2 linked regions of the Mytilus edulis genome follow. The protein of the gene in region 1 purifies or fractionates together with the protein of each later gene. This does not show direct contact. Links are inferred from orthologs where the notes say so. Each region holds a gene or a part of one and is shown in the gene's direction. Other genes may lie near its edges.

What was found.
Region 2: the proteins of ubiquitin carboxyl-terminal hydrolase 22-like (region 1) and histone acetyltransferase KAT2A-like purify together in Drosophila melanogaster (affinity purification with western blotting, with the first as the bait; 3 studies listed by BioGRID). This does not show direct contact. The link is inferred for Mytilus edulis from reciprocal best matches to the Drosophila melanogaster genes not and Gcn5.

What each region holds. Positions count from the first base shown.
Region 1 is NC_092352.1:75,862,093-75,873,175, forward strand, and holds the start of ubiquitin carboxyl-terminal hydrolase 22-like, read left to right. Parts: upstream 1-5,892; 5' UTR 5,893-5,982; coding exon 5,983-6,096; intron 6,097-7,787; coding exon 7,788-7,920; intron 7,921-8,259; coding exon 8,260-8,373; intron 8,374-8,807; coding exon 8,808-8,909; intron 8,910-9,424; coding exon 9,425-9,600; intron 9,601-9,865; coding exon 9,866-10,061; intron 10,062-11,083. Other genes in the region: dehydrogenase/reductase SDR family member 7B-like, read right to left, coding at 501-601, 3,217-3,375, 4,762-4,780. UniProt on the Drosophila melanogaster protein: Histone deubiquitinating component of the transcription regulatory histone acetylation (HAT) complex SAGA. Catalyzes the deubiquitination of histone H2B, thereby acting as a coactivator in a large subset of genes.
Region 2 is NC_092344.1:36,816,432-36,827,473, reverse strand, and holds the start of histone acetyltransferase KAT2A-like, read left to right. Parts: upstream 1-5,986; 5' UTR 5,987-6,044; coding exon 6,045-6,242; intron 6,243-10,256; coding exon 10,257-10,380; intron 10,381-11,042. Other genes in the region: pre-rRNA-processing protein TSR1 homolog, read right to left, coding at 4,620-4,731.

The sequences.
Region 1 (11,083 bases):
TAAAAATCCAGGATAGTTTATGAATCTCATACTGTTTAAAAACTTTTAACTGCAGACTAAATGTAATGTTAACTGGAAGAAAACTAAATTTCCTTCTAGATACTAGCTTTTGATTATAAACAAGCTTCTGTCCAAGTTTGGTACAAATCCAAAATAGTATAAGAAAGTTAAATTTAAAAAGCTTAACTACAGAGTGAATGTGTTGTTTCCTGGTAGAAAATCTAAGTCCATTTAAAAGTAAAATACGTAAAAAATGGAATTTTATTTTTACAAAATTTACTTCTGGATACTATCTTATGATCATAAACAAGCTTCTGTCCAAGTTTGGTACTAACCCAGGATAGTCTAAGAAAGTTATTAAAATTTTAAAAATTTTAACCACAGAGTGAATATTTGTGGATGCCTCTGCCGCCGCCAACGGTGGAATGTAGGATCGCTTAGTCTTGCTTTTTCGACTAAAGTTGAAGGCTTGACAAAAACACTTCAAGAAAAATTGTTACCTTAGCATTTGCCAATTCTTCTGTGAGAGCTCGTAAAGCTTCCTTGTTCCTTCCACATAATAAAACTCGACATTTTGCTTGATGAAAAGCTTTGGCACATGCTTAAAAACATAAAATGTATTTATCAATTAAAGTATTCCCTAAGATACACATTTTTTTTTCTATCAGTATAAAATTCACTGCGATTTAAACAAAAAATGAAAGGCAAACTAGCCATTTGGATTTATTACTTTTTTATCAGTCAGTATAATGAATGTTTCAAAACTAATTTGGTTAAAGCAAATCTGAGAATTTCATACCACTTTCAAAAAAAGCACAAATTCATTTTTTTTCCTTTCTATTCTTCCAGTTTCATTCAAAATCGAAACATCAATTAGACTTGCATTCTTAGCCTGCCCACCATTTAGTTGGTTTTGACAAGAAAGATATCTTTTGCACAAAATGTGTTCTCATCAAGGGAGATAATTAAACCTGATATATAACTGCATATACATGCAACTCAAAATTAACACTTAGTTATTTGAAACTACCAAAAAATTGAGAATATAAAGTATTTCCTTTTTCTTTTTTCTAAAATTCCTCAATCTAAATAATTTCCATAAAAAAAACATTATTTAATAGATTTATTTTTATCTAATTTGGCAAGAGAGAGTTGCTCTGCATACAATTAAAATGTATTAAGTTTTAAACCCAATATATCTTGAAAACCAGAATGGTGAGTTCTATTTTTTAAATTGAATTTTAAATCTATATTAATTTGGTTTATTCCTTGAATGCCATCATCTTCTGATCTACCGACAATTTACCTGAAAAATTATGTTGGCATTCGAGGAATAGGTACTAAATTTGTAGTAGTTATCACAACAAAAGTGCATGCTTATCAAAACAGTCACATTAATTAACAGATAGGTAAATTCCAGGTAGCTTAATCAAATGGTCAGTAATCCTTTTGCGCCAATTACTGTTTTTCAGGGGTATCATTTGCGCCAATTTTTGTTTTCCAAATGTAAGAAATGAATTCAAATGCATTAGACAGTCAATGTACAGAGAGAATAAAACGTATTGCTTTGCTGAATATTTAATAAAGATATACATAAAGAGAAGAAAATAGAAGCTTTTGCTGATTATGTTTTAGATACATATGTTGATGACACAGTTCTTTGTTCCTACCATACATATGGGATTTATTATTATAAGAATTATTATAAACTGTTTTATGCATTTCAACCTTCAATGTCTGTGTTTTTGGATATTAAAGTCAAGTTAAAAGCTACTACATACATTTAATGTGGAAGTATCCATGCAGCAGCAGTAAGAATAAGATATGTTTCAGAAAAGGAAACATTTTTAGTGTAAACTGCAGGTTCCAAGTCCGAATATAGGAGTAGGGAAGTAATTTTTCTTCTAATTGGCACAATTGTATGTTTTGTTTTTGGCGCATATGATACCATGTAATTTTAAAACATGTGGCGCGAACGTAGCATTGGAGAAAAAAGTTGTGGCGCAAAAGGACGCATCTCTCCCATCAAATGCATGTTTGTCAAATTGTTGAAAATTATTTTTTGCTGTTACTGTTTGAACCAATATGATCTTCTCTTAAAATAAAACTTTGAAAGACTCTTTGGACTTTGATGCATTTTTCAATATTTCTATAGTTGTGTGTGCTGTAATACATCCTCCCATATTATTTGATGGAATTTCTTGAAACTTTATTTCTTGTTTTAGATTACAATACATGTAGTTTATTTTGTCCAGTTGTTCATCATATTTTTCTTGGTTATAATATTGCACCCTTCTTTATATATTGTTCAGGTGTTAGTTCTGTTGACAACTCATTGGAATTCTTGCTACCCTATGTTATGGATTTTCTTGATTTTTTTTTTAGAGTTGTGGAAAAATGCACTACATATGTGATTGGATAACAATTTTTATATAATTCCTAAAGCAATTTTCACATTTTAGTCCATTACAAGTATTAAGTTTAATTAATTGTTCAATTGAAAAGTTCATATAGTTCATATCAACTAATAAATTATTTAAAATGATATGGAATTAAATAAATCTCTAATATCCTTTTATTAGTTTGAAATTATTGTATTTAGCTAGAATTTCTTTAATATTTCTGATGTGTCTATGTTAATATTCATTTCCATTCCAAAACATTTATTTTCAATATAAAGTAAAAAAAAATTGAAATAAACTCATCATAGATACCAGGGTTTAATTTTGTATTTACATTTTCTTTATTTCTTTTAAATTCATAATTATAGTTCTAACCCCAAAATCTACTATTTTTTCCTTATCAAAAAGTAATAAAATGTTGCAATTTTATCTTAACTTAATTTTAGCTCTTTACCCAAAAACTTATTGTATATGAATTCTAGCTTCTCTACATTTAAAAATATGAATAGTAAAAGTCAAGGACTTGAAAACATTACTATAATCTTTTGAAAAGTTTAGATTTTCCCTTTTATTTGTGTTGTCAATGGTTGTTGCAATATATATATATATATATATATATATTATTTTAAGGGTCTTATCCTATTTCAGGAAAAATATTAACATAAAAGTTTTTAAAGCCTTAAAATTCAGACCAAAAATATTTTGTTGAACTTGCAACATAAGAATGGGAGATAACTCTTGAACTTTTGTTTATCATTTTAAAGACCAAGAAGCTGTGTTAAAATGATCTGATATTTTACAGTAAAATAATTACCTTTCCCAAGACCTGAGTTTGCTCCTGTAATTAGGACAACTTTTCCCTGGATGTTCTTCTTTTTCTTGTATGACATCATCATGTACAAAAATACCAGAAATCCCAAAGGAAATCCTATGTAGCTCCCTATAGTATTCAGTGACATTATTTTATAATAAGCTAAAAAATAGAAAAGGATAAAAAAGTGTCAAGATTAGAGTAATGTTAAATAACACTTTGATTGTATAGATATAAATGTTGAATATTTTATTCACAAATTATAATGTATTAAAATTCAGGTGGTACAAAACACCTCGACTAAAATTTATGCGCTTCTTTTAATTTTCATAAAATTTTAACAAAATATAAACATTGACCATTTGACAAAAATATAAAAAATTTCAAAAAACTTGTACCACACACTTCATTGGATATATAAAGCAGTTTGACAAACACTAATTTTTATCATTGAGAAGCCTTATACATCCTTACCAATGGATAGTGATTAAAATGTTCAGCTGATTTTTACTGAGTTATCTCCCTGTAGTGTTATGTACACCTTAAGGATGTCATCAAATAATCAAATGCCCAAGATTAAGATGTTTTTACAATAACAGTTTAATTTCAGAACATTCAATGAACCTTTTGCAAAGAATACAATATTTTGGATAAGTCATCATAATGGAAGCATTTATTAGAAAATTCAAGATTTTTCCTTTTCTTCATGTCATAGCAAACTATACATTGCATGGATGTTGACATATTTTGGGACACATCTGAACCTAAAGGTGTTTTCTTCTCACTGAATCCGAACATAAAAGAATTTTGTACTTCTCATCATAATGGTTTTTTTTTATCTCTTGCTACATTTAGATAAATAGATGTTCAACTGTGAAACACAATTTACATGATTTAAAGCAATTAATTGTACCAAAGTTGAATTAAAACACAGAATTTCTAGGATGTAATTAGTGTCCTTTTGTTAGTCTGTTGGTCTTTTTCTTTTTTAGCCATGTGGTTCTCAGTTCATTTTTTACTTCTGAGTTTAAATGTCCCTCTGGTATCTTTCGCCTCTTCTTTATCTTGTCATAGCCATTGAAAGCTCACTATACAGTATGGGTTTTCTCATTGTTGAAGGTCATACTGTGAGAAATAATTGATTATGGCCTCATCATTTGAACTCTGTTGGAAAGTTGTCTCTTTGGCATTCATATAACATCTTATTTATAAATTGTACATAACTCTTAGTTTTTCTATGCTGTTGGGTTTCTGTCTCATAAAGAGGTACTTCATGGTTCCTTTAATTCATCATTTGTTTATATCAAAAAACATTTTTCTTATTATAGTGACATGCATGTGCACGTATCTAATAGCAGTTTAACAAAAAACAAATATATATATATATATATGTTATAGAAACAATAAAATACACCCAACACTTTGAGCCTATAAGTCATTTTCAAAATCATCATTTTCATGATAATGTTTTACTTTTATCATGGATTCTAATCATGAATACATGGATGCTCATAATAAAAAATATAAAAAATAAAAACAATTACTTACACTTCAAATTTGGTTGCATGAAAACTTATTTGATCTTTTACATTATTACGCCATCACCATTTTCTAAGCATCTTGCCTTTTAAATACAACGTATCACAAATCTGTCAAAATTTAAAAAAATTACAAAGTTATTTTAATGTTCCCTTTATTGCAGGAAATAATCCTTAGTGAATTAGTACTGTGATTGAGTACTGGGAAATACATTAGGGGGGGGGGGGGTTAGGAGGGGTCCTGATCCCGAAATCCTGGGCTTAAAAACACGAAATTCCGAAATCCCGGGCTTAAGAATACGAAATCCTGAGGTCCCGAAATTCGAAAAAAAGAAATCCCGGATCCCGAAAGGGTCAATCCGGAAATCCCGAGCTTAAAAACACCCAATCCCGGAGTCCGGATAAAGGTCCAATACCCCACCCATACATGTAATTAGAAAAAAGTTGACAATTTTAATTGTATATGTCATAAAGAAAAAAATGAAATTGCTGTGACCTGATTTCTAACAAGGGATGAAGAGGATATTTAACAGTGCAATGTAGGTATAAAGAAATTGGATATCATACGCTTCTAGTAGACTTTCAAATTAACGCACATTAGGACTCCCCACTTTTTAAGTCACAATGCTAAAAGTCATTAAAAATCTATGTTTGGTTTATTCACAGATATCGGAAAATTTCATAAGAAATATGGGCATCTCAGGCTTCATTGTTGCTGGACAATCTTTGAGATGGCTAGATACCTTATTATTGATACTGATAGAATTTCTGATTCCTGAGGTTTATGAATTTTGAAGTGCTTTTTTCATATACTATCAACTACCAAATTGATCAAAGCACATTTTCTTAAAAGGTAATGGCTACATAGGCTCATAGTTTACAAAATACTGAGTATGTTATTTTTGTGTTGTCAAGTTGCTGTCAAATAATAATTTATCAGTACGATTTTGTCCTTTCCAAAATTGAAGCAAGATTGCAACATTATGTTATTCAAATCAACGGATAAATTAAAGACAAAAACTATTAAAAAAGCATGGTTTATGTGGATCAACACTGCTTTTTCACAGAAAGAATGTATTGTTTACATTTTGTACCTTGCACATGGGATGAAACGGAAGCGGAAATTTCAAACGGTATGCGCAAATGATTACTAAAACAAGGAAGACTGCGCACCAATCTTTGTTGTTTTGTGCAAGGAAACAAATGAAAATGAAATAGGTGTTGGTCGACTATGTCGATTTGTGAACATTTAAATGACTATAAATCAATTCATGGAACAAATGCATATCGATTAATCCATGCATATTTCGTAGCTTGCCCGTCGGCTGAAGCCAGGCGACGAAAGGTGACTAAAAAATTATATCCCCCATCGACTGAAATGAGATCATTTATAAATTATATCCTGCAAAAAAATCTCCCCATACCTACAACAACTGAATCGAATCATCTTTCATAAAAAGGAATAATATGGTTTTATACAATAAAGGCTATTCTTCTGAAAATGTTAAATGGATGGATGGGGTCTTTCATTTCTGTTGTTTATTTAATTTTTTTCTAAGCTAGTTGGTGTTAAACAATATTTTTGATTTCTCCAAAACATATTGATAAGTTTCTGCAAAATGTTAAAATATGAGGGTTATAATGGGGGTACCTTCATGAAGAATAATGACAAAAATTTCTGCTAAATGATGTTAACCGTAAATTTTGGTACATGATGATATATTGTACACTTTCTTTTGGTCGACAAAAATCAACTGATTTTGACGAATCAAGATAATTGTTTTCCAAAAATAGCGGTAAAGATAATTATTATTACAAACCTGGACGAATCAGAAAAATTTGAAGTATCACGATCAGGATATTTTGATGAATCATGGTAAAATGTAAATCAATTTGTTGCTACGGTAACCGAAAATGACTGTTTGACGACTGAAGTTAAAGGGCATTAATACGGTTAAATAACATTATATGACAAAAATTAGTAAATGAATAGAACGCAATGCTCCAAAAGTAAAATAGACCACTTTCGATTTCAGACACTGTAACTTTCCATGAACATTTCCTATCTTGATGCTTTCTTGTTGGCATCACTGTAAGAATCACTTTCACAATACGGTGAATTACACAGATTTACTCTAGGTCATACAGTGTTACAACTCATTGATAAAAAAAAACATCTTGAGATCAGTGTATATATTAATAGAAATGTTAACAATAACACAGACACAAACAAAACAGAAAACAAAATTATAGAATAAAAGAAAATGCTCACAGTTACTACAACAAAGCTCCAAATAATCAGCCTGCTATTGTTAATTGTATTTTTATAAAAAGTAAAATAATAAAAATATTGAACTTCTACTAGGAAAATTCAGAAACCCCCATCATCAAATCGCAAAATCAAAAGCTCTAACAAGTCAAACCAAATCAACTGTCTAATTCCTGACTTGGTACAGGCATTTCCTTGTGTTGAAAATGGTGTATTAAGTGTGTTTTTTTAGCTAGCTAATATAAACCCCTCACTTGTTTGACAGTCAAAAAAAAAATCCATTATGTATGTATCTTGACAACAATGTGTAAACAAAACACAGACATTATTAATAATGATAGGTATAGAAGTCAAGAATAGGTGTACAACAGTAAAAATTGTATTGTATTACTTTTATCACAATCAAACAAACAATATACGTCAACAAAAACAAAAAAATGTCATAAGACAAAGCACAGAATACAAAAAAATGACCATATAATAAAACAAAAACACAATGGCCGGGATTAATAAATACTAAGCCATGCCAAATAGCAATTACAAAAATGGAATACAGTAAAAGTTTAGTACTTCATTCATTATTCATATAAATATTTCCTCATAAAAACGCTGATATAATTGAGAACCTGACCCTCATGTTTTACACATTATTTTTATTTTCACACTATCATGACTATATTTTAAATATTAGAATATCAGCATTATGTAATGCTTAGATTTGTTTCAGGGGTAACCCAAAGTGTGATTATTTTTTTTTATAACTTTAGGCTGCTTCCAATAGATGTCATACATGTCAGAAATATGCACTTAGGCTTCATGCCTGCTTACACTGTGTTTATTTTGGATGCTATAATGACAGGCATATTCATGGACATGCTGAAAGGAAGGGCCACCATCTGGGTAAATACATTATGCATAAATGGTAAAAGATTAGTTCTTACAAGTATTATTTTACATGTTTTAGGCAAGTTTAAAAGTCTCTTTAAAAGCAATTGAACAATTTACCTGTAAATAAAAAAAGAGGTGTAGTTTAAACGAAAATGGACCACTAGAAACACATACATAACAGGTTGACATATTAACACTAACATGTAACTGTCAACACATAAACCCAAGTATTTTAATCTGAATCGTGAAAGAATAATGTGATTGTGATTCTTTTGTTAATCAATTTAAGGAGAGATTTATATAAAGAGTATAATATATCTGTGATTATAAAATAACAACTTTTTTTTTCAGCTATGGATTTAAGTTATGGAACAGTATTCTGTTTTGCCTGTAATGATTACATGTACGACCCAGAATTAGAAACAATTTCTACCTCACAACATCAAAAATCTGCAAAGGCTCAAGGTACACAAAGTCAGATATACATCATCAATGTAGTTTTCTATATTCATCTGGTTCATAGTTTTCTTCATGAACGATCTCCAACATTTGATTTTATTGCTTGCAAAATCTTTACATTATCTGTTTTTTTATACAATAATCTTTTTTTCAAACTAGTGGGTCAGTTTACACATGGTTTGATTGACAACACTTAAAAAAATAACAAAAAAAACAGTTTAAACTTTCAGTAATAGTAATACATTTTAAAATATTTTGAAATTAAGTACAAATGTAATAGAAGTCTGAATCCTGATATTCTAAACAAAAACATTTTTGTTGGGTTAAGAGTTCCTTTGAGTGATCAGATTTATGAAGTTTGTATGTGTAAACTGCAACACTTGCATATTTTTGCAAGGGTACAGCTGATTCACCAATTTTATCACTTTTATTTATTTCAGGATTAAAACAACAGTTTATACGATGGGAACCTACTGATATTGAGAAGGAAATTCTATTACAGAATCCTAAAAGAAGGAAAGTAGAAACTACATCAACAATAGGTACATTACTGCAAAATTAACAAATTCAAATCAACAGCATAATGAATATATGGTACCCATCCATCCAGGGCATCCAAAAAATATTTTAGGCAAAAGGTCAGGTCAAAAAGATAGCAAAACATATTTTTTTCAACTGAATTATGTTAGAATGGCAACCCAAGTTAAATGTCTGTTTTAGGTTTGACGCAACAAGTCATTAATATAACTTATCTGCAAAGTCCAGAAAATACGACCACTTGTACTAGTACAAATTTAGAATGGGTCTGAATATTAAGTAAACAATAATAATCAGTCAATCAAATATAAGGCAATAGTATAATTAAAAGTATGGAATTAAACAAATATTTGAACTTGAAAAAATACAAAGATGAGACTTTATTAGAAAGACAAATAAAAAGGGTTACCATGCAAAACACTATTTATTTACAAAATAGGAATTGCATTTACAATTTTTTTTATCACTTTTCTAAATAAATGCTGTTACGCCAAATTAATCTGTTTGTTATCTGTTTCAGGTCTGCGAGGATTGATTAATTTAGGAAACACTTGTTTTATGAACTGCATTGTACAGGCATTGATTCACACACCCGTTTTGAGAGACTATTTTTTAGCTGATAAGCATGTTTGTGAAATGAAAGACGACGAAGCTCGGCAGTGCCTTGTTTGTGAAATGTCCAGACTTTTTCAAGAAGTAAGTGATGTTACCTTAAAATGCTTATTTTTTTTTTAACTCTTTATACATAAGTCAAATTCTGATTTTAACAAAGTAGTCTTTTAACACAATTCAAGTAGAAACCATGTCTCAAAAAATGCTTGTAATTGAAGATATTTATGAAGGAACAATTCCAAACAAATGTAATTTGTGAGACATTTGAAGATGTGATGTAACTTTTTTTTTCATAATTTCAATTTGAATAATTCAATATAAAAAAATTATGTTTTTTTTACATTCTTAGTTTTACTCTGGAGCCAGGGCTCCACATATTCCATTTCGACTTTTACACCTGGTGTGGACCAATGCTCGTCACTTGGCAGGATATGAGCAGCAGGATGCTCATGAATTCCTGATTGCAGCACTTGATGTGTTACACAGACATTGTAAAGGTTACTCCGCTAATCTATTGTTGTCTCACAGTCGACCAAGTATTCAAGGTAGGTGTCATGGTATTTCTGTCATGGCCTTCCACTGATTAAATTGGATTCAATTTCTATAGAAATCAGGTGAAAGTTTCAAATCTTTTATAAGGGCTATTCCATTAAAATGTATGTGACAGGGTAGGAAGGGAAGTTTAATTATTGAATGTGGGGCATGGATCTTTTGTCAGCATGCGTCTTTTAGCATTATGCAAAATTATCTAAAAATGTTCTTGGATGTAGGATATTTGGAAAGAAATTTCCTATCCTCCTAAAAAATTTTTTTTTAAAAGCCCTTATTGTCTTCTAGGGAAATTCATTATTGAAAGTAAATTTCAGATCAATGTTGGGTTATTCACACACAGTGTATTATGAACACTGTTGCCTTGCAACTGACATAGATGCATTTACTATAAATAGAATGTACTGATACATTTGAAATTAATTCTTCAATTTAAACAACCAAAAGGAATTAAATGTTAAAAATGTGTATGTGTTTTTTTGTGTATGTTAAGGAGGTAGACCTAGGTCAAGGGAAATAACTCTTAAAATCATCAGTACGTTTTTGTCAACCATTTTCAAAAATATATTCTAAGCTTCTAGGTTACATAGATTATTTTCAATCTGTTTCAGGTAAATGCTTAAAATACATTGATGAACTTGACTTTTACAAACGCTTAACTGATTTAAAGAGTTATCTCCCTGAATCAAAGTCTACCCCCTTAATTTGGACTTTAAACTGTATAGAGCACTGCTGCACAGTAAATACTATTAAAAAATATTGGACATTACCTCTTCATAAGCCAGAGAAGTTGGGCTCGTGAGATATATAGGGACGAAAGATACCAAAGGGACAGTCAAACTCATAGATTGAATATAAACTGACGACGCCATGGCTAAAAATGAAAAAGACATACAATTTAATGCATACAAGACACAACATAGAAAGATAAAGCGACACAAATTCTACCAAAAACTGGTGGTGATCTCAGGTGCTCTGGTGCTACAAATGTCACAATAATACAAGTATTGATTAAAAT
Region 2 (11,042 bases), on another chromosome or scaffold:
AGTCAGGGTGTTCAAATGTACGAGTCGGGCGAGTCGGGCATAGCATTTCCACACCCCTGACACAATATTCATGCTTGATTCAGGTTTGAGTTTGAATTGTAATTAAATATTTGACAAATATTAGCTTTCTGACACAGAATTACTGTAGTCACCTCTCTCCAAATGTTTTTTTCAAGTCCTCCACCCTTTTTCCATTAAAATATTCTTTCCCTCAAGATATGGTCATAATTTCCATTCAAATTTTCATTGAAGATGCAACCATAATAATTACCCATTTAAATACATCATAAAAGTCTTAAATAGAAAATTAATATTCCTTAATCATGTTAATCAGCATAAATTTAATAGTAACTTCTTAAAGCAAATTAACAGCTAATCACCTCAAGAAAATACAATATTTCTACATAATGTTAAAGCAGTGTCTTGGAGGTAATCCAACATATTATGTTTGAATTACATTTGGATTACCTCCCTTACACTGCTTTAAAATTGTCTCAATTGTCCATTAACCAGAAAAACCCTTGTTTTCCCCCTACGGTTTGAGCCATAACCCCCCAAAGTCACACCTTTGTAGTATGAAAACTTGTGGTATAATTTCAGAGAGATTCATACACTTTAACACACAAGTTGTTGTCTGGAAACTACAAAAATGCTTATTTGGGCCCCTAATTCCTAAACAGTTGGGACCATAACCCCCAAAATCAATCCCAAACTTCTTTTAGTGGTTATAAACCTTGTGTCAAAATTTTATTGATGTCTATTTACCTATACTAAAGTTATTATCTGGAAACCATCTGTCTTCGGACGATGCTGACGACCACAAAGATAAAAGATACCAATATACAACCAAAATTGTATCTGCCCTTTAATAAGGTTGTTGTCTCTGACATATTTATCATTTCCATTCTCAAACAGACAGAACCTTTTTAAAATATATTACTCTTTATAAAATTATTAATGCCATATCATATATATATAATATACATGTCAGTATAATTACCAGACATTTTGTATCTGTAGTGATACATTTGTTGTACTTCTATAAAAAAAAATTATGTCTGAATAAGGTTAACATAAGAATTTTTAACAAATATATGATGCATAGTGGGCTGTCACTGTGACTGTCAAGAGATCTTTATACCTTTATACCTTTATACCTTTATCTTCGGGTCGTTAAATAAGCCAAAGGCTTCTACTGACCCCTCATCTTGGATTGTCGTATATGCATTTCTCTTCTCATAATTAATATATATATATATATAATATATATTAAACTTATAATAAAAAACACTTATTTGGGTGTGCGCAGCTGAACACTTAATTAACACGAACATATGAATTTATAAGGGTTCCAGTTTTCGCCATTTAGTGCAGACTTAAAATTATTTAGAGTCTTTGCCGTCACTGTTAAATCAGACAGGTTATTCCACTGATCCACTACTCTAATTGAAAAAGTATTTAGTCTATGTGTGGTCTTACACTGTTTTTTAAACAGTTTTAATGAGTGACCTCTTGTATTATTAGATGGTGCTAAAGTAAATAGCTTCATCCAGTCGATGTCATCTATACCATGCAACGATTTGTAGACTTGTATCATGTCATTCCTATCCCTACGATATTCCAAAGTTGGCAAACCCAATGAACGTAGCCTGTCTTCATAATTAAGATGACAAATATTTTTCACCAGTTTTGTGGCCCTCCTTTGTACAGATTCCAGTTTACGGATGTCTTTTTTAAGATACGGTGACCAGACGCATGTCGCATATTCAAGCAGCGGACGCACTATTGATTTATAAATAGTAAGAAACATATCTTGATCCATGTAATCAAAAGAATGATGAATAAGAGACAACACTCTCTGCGCTTTGTTGTAAATATCACTTATATGTTTTTCAAATTTCAAATTAGACTCGAAAGTTACTCCAAGATCCTTTTCTTCATTCACTGTAGATAATGCAATAAAATTTCCAGATTCATCCAACATGGTATAACGATATTTCAGGTCATTGTCAGGATTAATATGCAATACTTTACATTTAGCAGCATTAAATTTTAATTTCCACATATCTGACCATTCACATAATCTGTCCAAATTTTCCTGTAACTTACTTTGCTCATAATCTGACGAGACTTTAGAATAAACTTTACAATCATCAGCAAAAATTTTCACTATGCCCTCTACTACATCAGGAAGATCATTTATAAATGTTAAGAAAAGAACTGGTCCTAAAACACTTCCCTGAGGTACACCACTCACAACGTCTGACCATGTTGATGTTGTGTTATTTATACGAACACATTGCTTACGCCCAGATAGAAAACTTTTTATCCAATTTAAAATGCATCCCTTTATTCCAAGTTTTTCAAGTTTCAAAAATAAACGCTGATGCGGTACAGTATCAAACGCCTTTGAAAAGTCAAGGAAAATCGAGTCCAGTGGAAAACCACTATCAATTAATTCTGACCACTCATCCAGAACCTCTAGGAGTTGAGTAACACATGATCTACCAGGACGGAAGCCATATTGACTACTAGTAAAAAGATTGTTTGTAAGAATAAACTTCATAATATTGTCTCTAATAATGGATTCACATATCTTACATACCACTGACGTTAAGCTTACAGGTCTATAATTACCAGGTTTTAGTTTTTTCCCTTTCTTAAATATCGGTGATACTATGGCATTTTTCCAATCGTCTGGAACTTTCCCCTCTTTGATAGACTTATTAAAAATTAGAAACAATGGATAACAAATTGCATGTCTAACTTCATATAAAACTTTCGGATGGAGACCATCAGGTCCTGCAGATTTATCTGTCTTTAATTTATTAAGTTTCTTTATCACATCTTCCTGACAAATATTAATATCATTTAAATAATTGTTCGACACTGAATTAGTATCATAATCTTTCAAGTCCTCCGTTTGAGTAAAAACACTAGTAAAAAACTTATTTAAAACTTCAACTTTGTCAGCAGTACTGGATGCTAAAGTACCATCCGGTTTCTCAAGCGTACCTATTCCTGATCTAGTCTTGAGTTTACTGTTAACATAATTCCAAAACGACTTTACATTAGTCTTTGATTCTAAGGCCACTTTTTGTTCAAAACTAAGTTTGGCATTTTTAACAGTATTTGTACATTCATTGCGATCCTTCACATATTTGATATATGACAAATTATTTCTTGAATATTTATATTTTTTCCATGATTTACGTTTCTTGACAATTGCAGACTTAGTAGCTCTATCCATCCACAAAGGTCCCAGATAGCAAACATGTGTTGGGCCAATATTGGCATTCTGTTGGCAACATTGTTGGGCCAATGTTGGAAAACTGTGTTGGGCCAACGTCATTTTGCTCATCGGCCCTCAGTTGGCCCAACATGTTGGGTCTTTGTTGGCCCAACATCAGTATGCCAACAAGGTTAACTATTTGCCAACAATCTGCCAACAATGTCAACTATTTGCCAACAGTCTACCAACGTCGTCTGGTTCTAAAATTATGTTGGACCAATGTTGGTCGAACAGCAGTATGCCAACGATGGCTTCAGTCTGTCAAACATGTTATTTATGCATTTCATGTTATGTATTATGAAATATTTATCTCTTGTATATAATGTATAATATATTTGCAGGTCAATCTCGGCTGTCATGTGGAGAGTGTGATGTTACACTCGTGTCAAATGAGCAGCTGAGTTCAGTTGACAAGTTTAACAACTTGCAGAAACTATACTCAAATTTTATTTGTTTTTTTGGGCTGGTTTTAAGTATTTTTTGTTTGTGCATAAAATTATTCAATCATTAAGATAAATACATTTAAATGACTACACAGATTTGAAAATATTAGATAAAGAGAATGAAGAGCACATTTTTTGGTTTGCACTTTGAAATAATATCTAAAAAAAAATAAAAAAATCTGTGGTATAATACGGGGAGATAAGAACTTAATACGTTGGCATATTGTTGGCACCATGTTGGCTCATATCTCAATATTGTCATGAAATATCAATGATATGTTGGTTTTTTTTATAAATATACTGTTTTAAAAACTTTTGAATTATTCAAAATACTAAAAAATTTCTAGCTCTTGGCACAGACGGTTTAAAATAGTCCTATTTGGGAAGACTTTATTATTTTAATTTTTTACTAAGTCCTCAATGCCCTTCAAACACAATCTATAGTCTCTATGATAACATAGAATCATTCAAATAAAGTTCGAATAAAATTGGTTCAGTAGTTTCAGTCAGAAGATCTTACACTGAATCAATGGATAACGTAAGTCAAATATCGTTGGGCAAGCTACTTTAAAAATAACAGTTGGTAAGAAAATGTTGGGCCAACATTGGGTCAATAACACCAAAATGACAGTTGGTGGAAAGTCGTTGGGCCAACAAGGGGCCAATAGTGTCAAAATAACTGTTGGCTGAGTTTTGTTGGGCCAACAAGGGGCCAATAGTGTCAAAATAACTGTTGGCTGAGTTTTGTTGGGCCAACATCGGTTTCTTGTTGTGCTGCCAACGCCAACTATTTACCAACTGTGCCAACCAATCACCAATGTTGGCCCAACAAAGTATTGCTATCTGGGGTGGGCTTATAAATTTACGGTCATTTTTCTTCTTACCTTTTGTTTCTCTTTCTAATGAACCTTTGCTTCTATGTTTGCCATGTTTGTGTCCTTTATTTTGTTGTTTAAAAACGCCAGGTCTGTGGGTTTGCTGTGTATCTGCTGCCATTCTCAGCTTTTAAATGAATTAGAGTACCTGTCAACACTATGAACACGTGCTAATGGAATATTGATACTAAATTTAGAACATTTTAATGTTGTAAGGGGCTATAAATAAAAAAAATAGTACTAGACAGATTCATGTCACTAATAAAAACGTAAATAATGAGGACAAGCTTAAATGTAGCATGTGCCCTATCTGACAACCAAAACCAATATAAACAAAAACCTTCTTTGTTATAACAAAATGAATGCTTCTTTTTGTAACTTTATTATGGGGTGTAAAAGCATTGACCGAAGTACATTTTGTATGAAGCGCAGAAGTAAATTATGTTGACAGAGAGTAAAAAAACCTGAAAGATACCAAGATGAATATTTGTATATAACAAATTGTTTTCTTTCTCATTTTTTTTAAATTGTCAAAGAAGGGAAGGGAAAAAATATAGTTGTTTTAGAAGGGAAGGGAAAATTATTTTTTTCAGAATTGGAAAGCTTTATCTAATTCACATGTGGAAGAATTAAGGCATTACTGGGGTTAAGTCATAAAGTAAAGAAGTCCCATCTATTATTATTGCAGTTAAAAAATAATCTTAATTAGTTCATTATCGCACATCAACGTTGGGGGTATTATACAACTTGTCTTGAAGAGTTATTGTCCGTTATCGAGCCTGAGTTATCTTTCTTCTTTCGAAACCATTAACAAATGGCGGCCGAAATCTACGTGAATGACAGTCTCTATTTACATGTATTTTTGCCAAGAAAAGAAAAACTGAAACGGTTTTTGAAAGAAAATAAAAGGTTATGGACGCTCAACCTATGATATTTATCTACATTAAATCAAAATTTGATCGCACAATCGTTACGGTTCCCGAGTTTTCAATGACCAAAACTACAAGGTCATTTTTGCTGAAGCACATGTCAAATTAATCCCGGTCAGGCAAAAGGCTCATGCAAATAAATTTTGGCCAGGGAGTCCCGCGAAAAAAATAAATTCAAAGAACTTTTCAAATCTAGAAAAAATATTCAAATAGAAGAAACATATCTGGAAAATAATAAGAGTCATATACTAATGTTATAGATTGCTGATAATATGGCCAACTTATGGATTTTTTTTTGTATAATATGTCTCTGGTATTATCAACACCAAAATTACTTCATTTCAGAAAATTGTGGTGCGTTACTGTAAAAAATATTTAGTTGTGTTTGGTTAGATCTTTTATGTTTCTGTTAGTTTGTTGTCATGGATAGTGATGTGAAGCTGCACAGTACTACTTATTTTCAATGTTACAAGCGTTTGCATAAAAAAATGAAACAAATAAAACAATGAGTGACGCAAATTCTAGCGATCCACTTCAAAATGGAACAGATTTACAGCAAACAAATAAAGGTCCTACACAGTCTACGACAGGCGAAATGTCTAGACCGAACAATCTACAAAGAATTGCACAAAAGAAAGCTATGGTTCGGGGATACCCCAGGAACAAAAAATTGGAAAAGCTAGCTGTTTATTCGTCTTGCAAGGTCCGTTTATGATTTTTAAATTCAATGCTTCATGTATACCGATTGGGACGGAATGTCAAAATATATAGATTAAATGAGGGTTTGGATTTAGGGTCCTACATCTCTATACACCTTATGTCTGATAAAAGCTCTACAGAGCGTTTGTTGTATTGTTATACATTGTATGTACAAATGTATAACCGACTTTAAATAAATCTTTTATGCTTAATGCTTATTGCTAACCATGGCTGACCTGGCCGCTTGAATTTTTGACGTCGTACACAATCACTTTTCCATTGTAGCATCAGATATTTTGTTTTATGACCTCAAAATTTTACAGGAACCTGTGTTATATCCAGTAATGGCAGACAAAACGCGATAAGGTGTATTGCTTTTTGGGCCATTTTTCCACAGGCACATTGGAAGACCCACTATCAATGTATATTTACGATAAACGTTGATAGTGGGTCTTCCAATGAATAGAAACAAGTGCCTGTGCATTTTTCTCTATTTATGATTATTTCATTTGTTACTAATATAATTTCTCTCTGATCATTCATGCTGATTGCGATGGCAAATATAGGCAAGATGCAAGAATTGTTGTCCATATGATGTATCGGCCATGTCATGTCGTACTAATTTCAAAACGTAGAAATTTATACTGCAAAAGGTTTACTTTTTATGTTCAACGGAAGGCTATTTGGAAGCTGTGAGGTCATTAAAACAATTTGAACTCCCGATTTCTATTATGTAATCGAAGTCTTAAATGTTGTTCCATCTAATCAACGTGGTTTTAAAATCAGATCGCAATGCATGAATAGCCTAGGGAAAACACTGCATGAAACAAATTCTATATAAAGTATATAGATATTATATATGACGCCCACTAGCAAAAAGGACCCTTATTATGCTTATAGCAAACATTATTTAACATGAGGCAGGCATAACCTTTGAAAGGGGACGAAGTCTGTATGAATTATTTTTTTTAATTCAAACATATTTTATTTTAAAATCTATTAAAAAGAAATGGAAATACCATAACGTTTCCGATTTGGTTCTGTTGTTTTACATTTTAGTTGTGACGTTATTTAAGTGATGACGTCATATATTCAATGTAAAAAAAAAGAAACACAAGCATCAGGAAAAAATTTCTCATATCAAAGAATTATTGAAAATGAAATTGGTATTTTGATCATTCCTATATTTTACTAGACTGATAAACATATAATTTACTCAAAGTCTCATGACAAATGAGATGAAAATAAAAAAAGTCTGAAAAAAAAGTTAATGCTTTTGAGTTCATAAGAAGCAAGAGTTTTTTTCAGGATTTTTTTTTTTAATTTTTCTAATGTAATAGTTGACTTTGTCCCATTATTATCAAATTTTGTATTTCCTAAACAAATAATACTTATCATCAAGTTATGTCAACTCAAAGCAAAAAAATTGATCATTGATAAACTAGCTATGTAATTTTAATCTTGACTTATTTCATGGATCAGTGAACAATGTTAAGATTTTGGGGTCAAGTCCATATCTCAGATACTAAAAGCAATAGGTCTTTTATATTTGGTGTAGGGAAGAATTGTAAGGTGTACATGTACATTGTACTGTCCAACTGGCAGGTTTCATCTGACCTTGAACTCATTTTCATGGTTCAGTGGTTATAGTTAATTTTTATACGACCGCAAAATTTGAAAAATTTTTCGTCGTATATTGCTATCACGTTGGCGTCGGCGTCGGCGTCGTCGTCCGGCGTCCGAATACTTTCAGTTTTCGCACTCTAACTTTAGTAAAAGTGAATGGAAATCTATGAAATTTTGACACAAGGTTTATGACCACAAAAGGAAGGTTGGTATTGATTTTGGGAGTTTTGGTCCCAACATTTTAGGAATTGGGGGCCAAAAAGGGCCCAAATAAGCATTTTCTTGGTTTTCGCACTATAACTTTAGTTTAAGTTTATAGAAATCTATGAAATTTTGACACAAGGTTTATGACCACAAAAGAACGGTTGGGATTGATTTTGGGAGTTTAGGTTTCAACAGTTTAGGAATTAGGGGCCAAAAAAGGGCCCAAATAAGCATTATTCTTGGTTTTCGCACAATAACTTTAGTTTAAGTAAATAGAAATCAATGAAATTTAAACACAATGTTAATGACTACAAAAGGAAGGTTGGTATTGATTTTGGGAGTTTAGGTCCCAACAGTTTAGGAATTAGGGGCCAAAAAGGGACCCAAATAAGCATTTTTCTTGGTTTTCGCACCATAACGTTAGTATAAGTAAATAGAAATCTATGAAATTTAAACACAAGGTTTATGACCATAAAAGGAAGGTTGGTATTGATTTTGGGAGTTTTGGTCCCAACAGAATAAGGGGCCCAAAGGGTCCAAAATTAAACTTTGTTTGATTTCATCAAAATTGAATAATTGGGGTTCTTTGATATGCCGAATCTAACTGTCATGACTGTGTATGTAGATTCTTAACTTTTGGTCCCGTTTTCAAATTGGTCTACATTAAGGTCCAAAGGGTCCAAAATTAAACTTAGTTTGATTTTGACAAAAAATGAATCAGTTAGGTTCTTTGATATGCTGAATCTAAAAATGTACTTAGATTCTTGATTATTGGCCCAGTTTTCAAGTTGGTCCAAATCGGGGTCCAAAATTAAACTTTGTTTGATTTCATCAAAAATTGAATAAATGGGGTTCTTTAATATACCAAATCTAACTGTGTATGTAGATTCTTCATTTTTGGTCCTGTTTTCAAATTGGTCTACACTAAAGTCCAAAGGGTCCAAAATTAAACTTAGTCTGATTTCAACAAAAATTGAAATCTTGGGGTTCTTTGATATGCTGAATCCAAAAATGTACTTAGATTTTTTATTATGGGCCCAGTTTTCAAGTTGGTCCAAATCAGGATCTAAAATTATTATATTAAGTGTTGTGCAATAGCAAGTCTTTTCAATTGCACAGTATTGCGCAATGGCAAGAAATATCTAATTGCACAATATTGTGAAATAGCAAATTTTTTTTTAATTAGAGTTATCTTTCTTTGTCCAGAATAGTAAGCAAGAAATATCTAATTGCAAAATATTGTGCAATAGCAAGATTTTTTTTTAATTGGAGTTATCTTTCTTTGTCCAGAATCAACTTAAATCTTTGTTATATACAATATACAATGTATATTCACTTTTTACTACCAACTGATAAATTATAATAAATAACATTCAGTGATAACAAGCAGTTTTTTTTACATCTTAATATTTTATGATGTATTTAAATGAGTAGTTATTGTTGCAAACTCCATTAGAAATATTAATTGAGATTAGTTTTGGAATAAGGGAAAGGGGGATGTGATTAAAAAAATTGGGTTCAATTTTTCTCATTTGAAATTTCATAAATAAAAAAGAAAATTTCTTCAAACATTTTTATGTTTTCTGGTCTGTGCGTCCGTCCGTCCGTCTGTCCGTTCGTCCGTCCGTTCGTCCGTCCGTCTGTCCCGCTTCAGGTTAAAGTTTTTGGTCAAGGTAGTTTTTGATGAAGTTTAAGTCCAATCGACTTCAAACTTAGTACACATGTCCCCTATGATATGATCTTTCTAATTTTAATGCCAAATTAGAGTTTTTACCCCAATTTCACGGTCCACTGAACATGGAAAATGATAGTGCGAGTGGGGCATTCGTGTACTGAGGACACATTCTTGTTTTGAGAGGATTAATATTCAACAGCATAGTGAATTGCTCTAAGAGAAAACAAAAATTTTAAGTTCATTAGAACACATTCATTCTGTGTCAGAAACCTATGCTGTGTCAACTATTTAATCACAATCCAAATTTAGAGCTGAATCCAGCTTGAATGTTGTGTCCATACTTGCCCCAACCGTTCAGGGTTCAACCTCTGCGGTCGTATAAAGCTACGCCCTGCGGAGCATCTGGTTTGTGTTTTGGACTGTTTTTGGTTTACTGTACACAAAGAATTGTTAGTAAAGAAGGCAAGACATTTCAGCATGTGCACTTTTGTATAAATATGGTTTTATTTGCAGTCTGAATCCTGTAAATGTAATGGCTGGAAGAACCCCAATCCACCACCAACCCCACCAAGAGTGGATGTGTCACAACCTCTGGCCAGTCTGACAGATCCATGCAGGAGTTGTGGACACACATTAGGTAAGTTTCTTTATATTAACATGTATAAACTATTGAAACTAATGTTAGCTTTTATTTTCAACTATAAAAATATGATTAAGGTTACTAATGTTGCGACCACTATTACCCCTGTGTAATTGACATGTAAAGATTGTACAATGCATATATGTAGTTGCACATTCAGCAAGCGACTACTCTTTCAAGCCTAGTTCTAACTAATTCCCGCATTATGATATTTTGAATTATTGCATCAACAGACAATCAGACTTTTTCTAACTGTGACATACATTTTATATTATTATTTTCTAATTAGACAGATTTCTAATTAGACAGATATCAAAACAGTATTAGTTGATACACAACCAATAGTAAAAAAGTCAGAAAAAGGGCAATTTTACGTGTGAATGTCATTGAAAAAATGGGCAATTTAACGTGTACATTTATATCATTATTTAAGCCTTATCATTTATTAGCACATAATATTTATTATGCATTATTGAAACATCAAGTTTCAGTTAAAATGAAGTTACATTGTATGTAATTTTCACATGAATTTCTCTGTTATTAAGAGGAAAAAGATAATTACATTAATATATGAGATTCTTGCAAAGTCAACAGGTTTGCAGACAGGGTTCAACTGACTCTGACCTTATTTCATTGATAATTGAACAGGTTTATAAAGT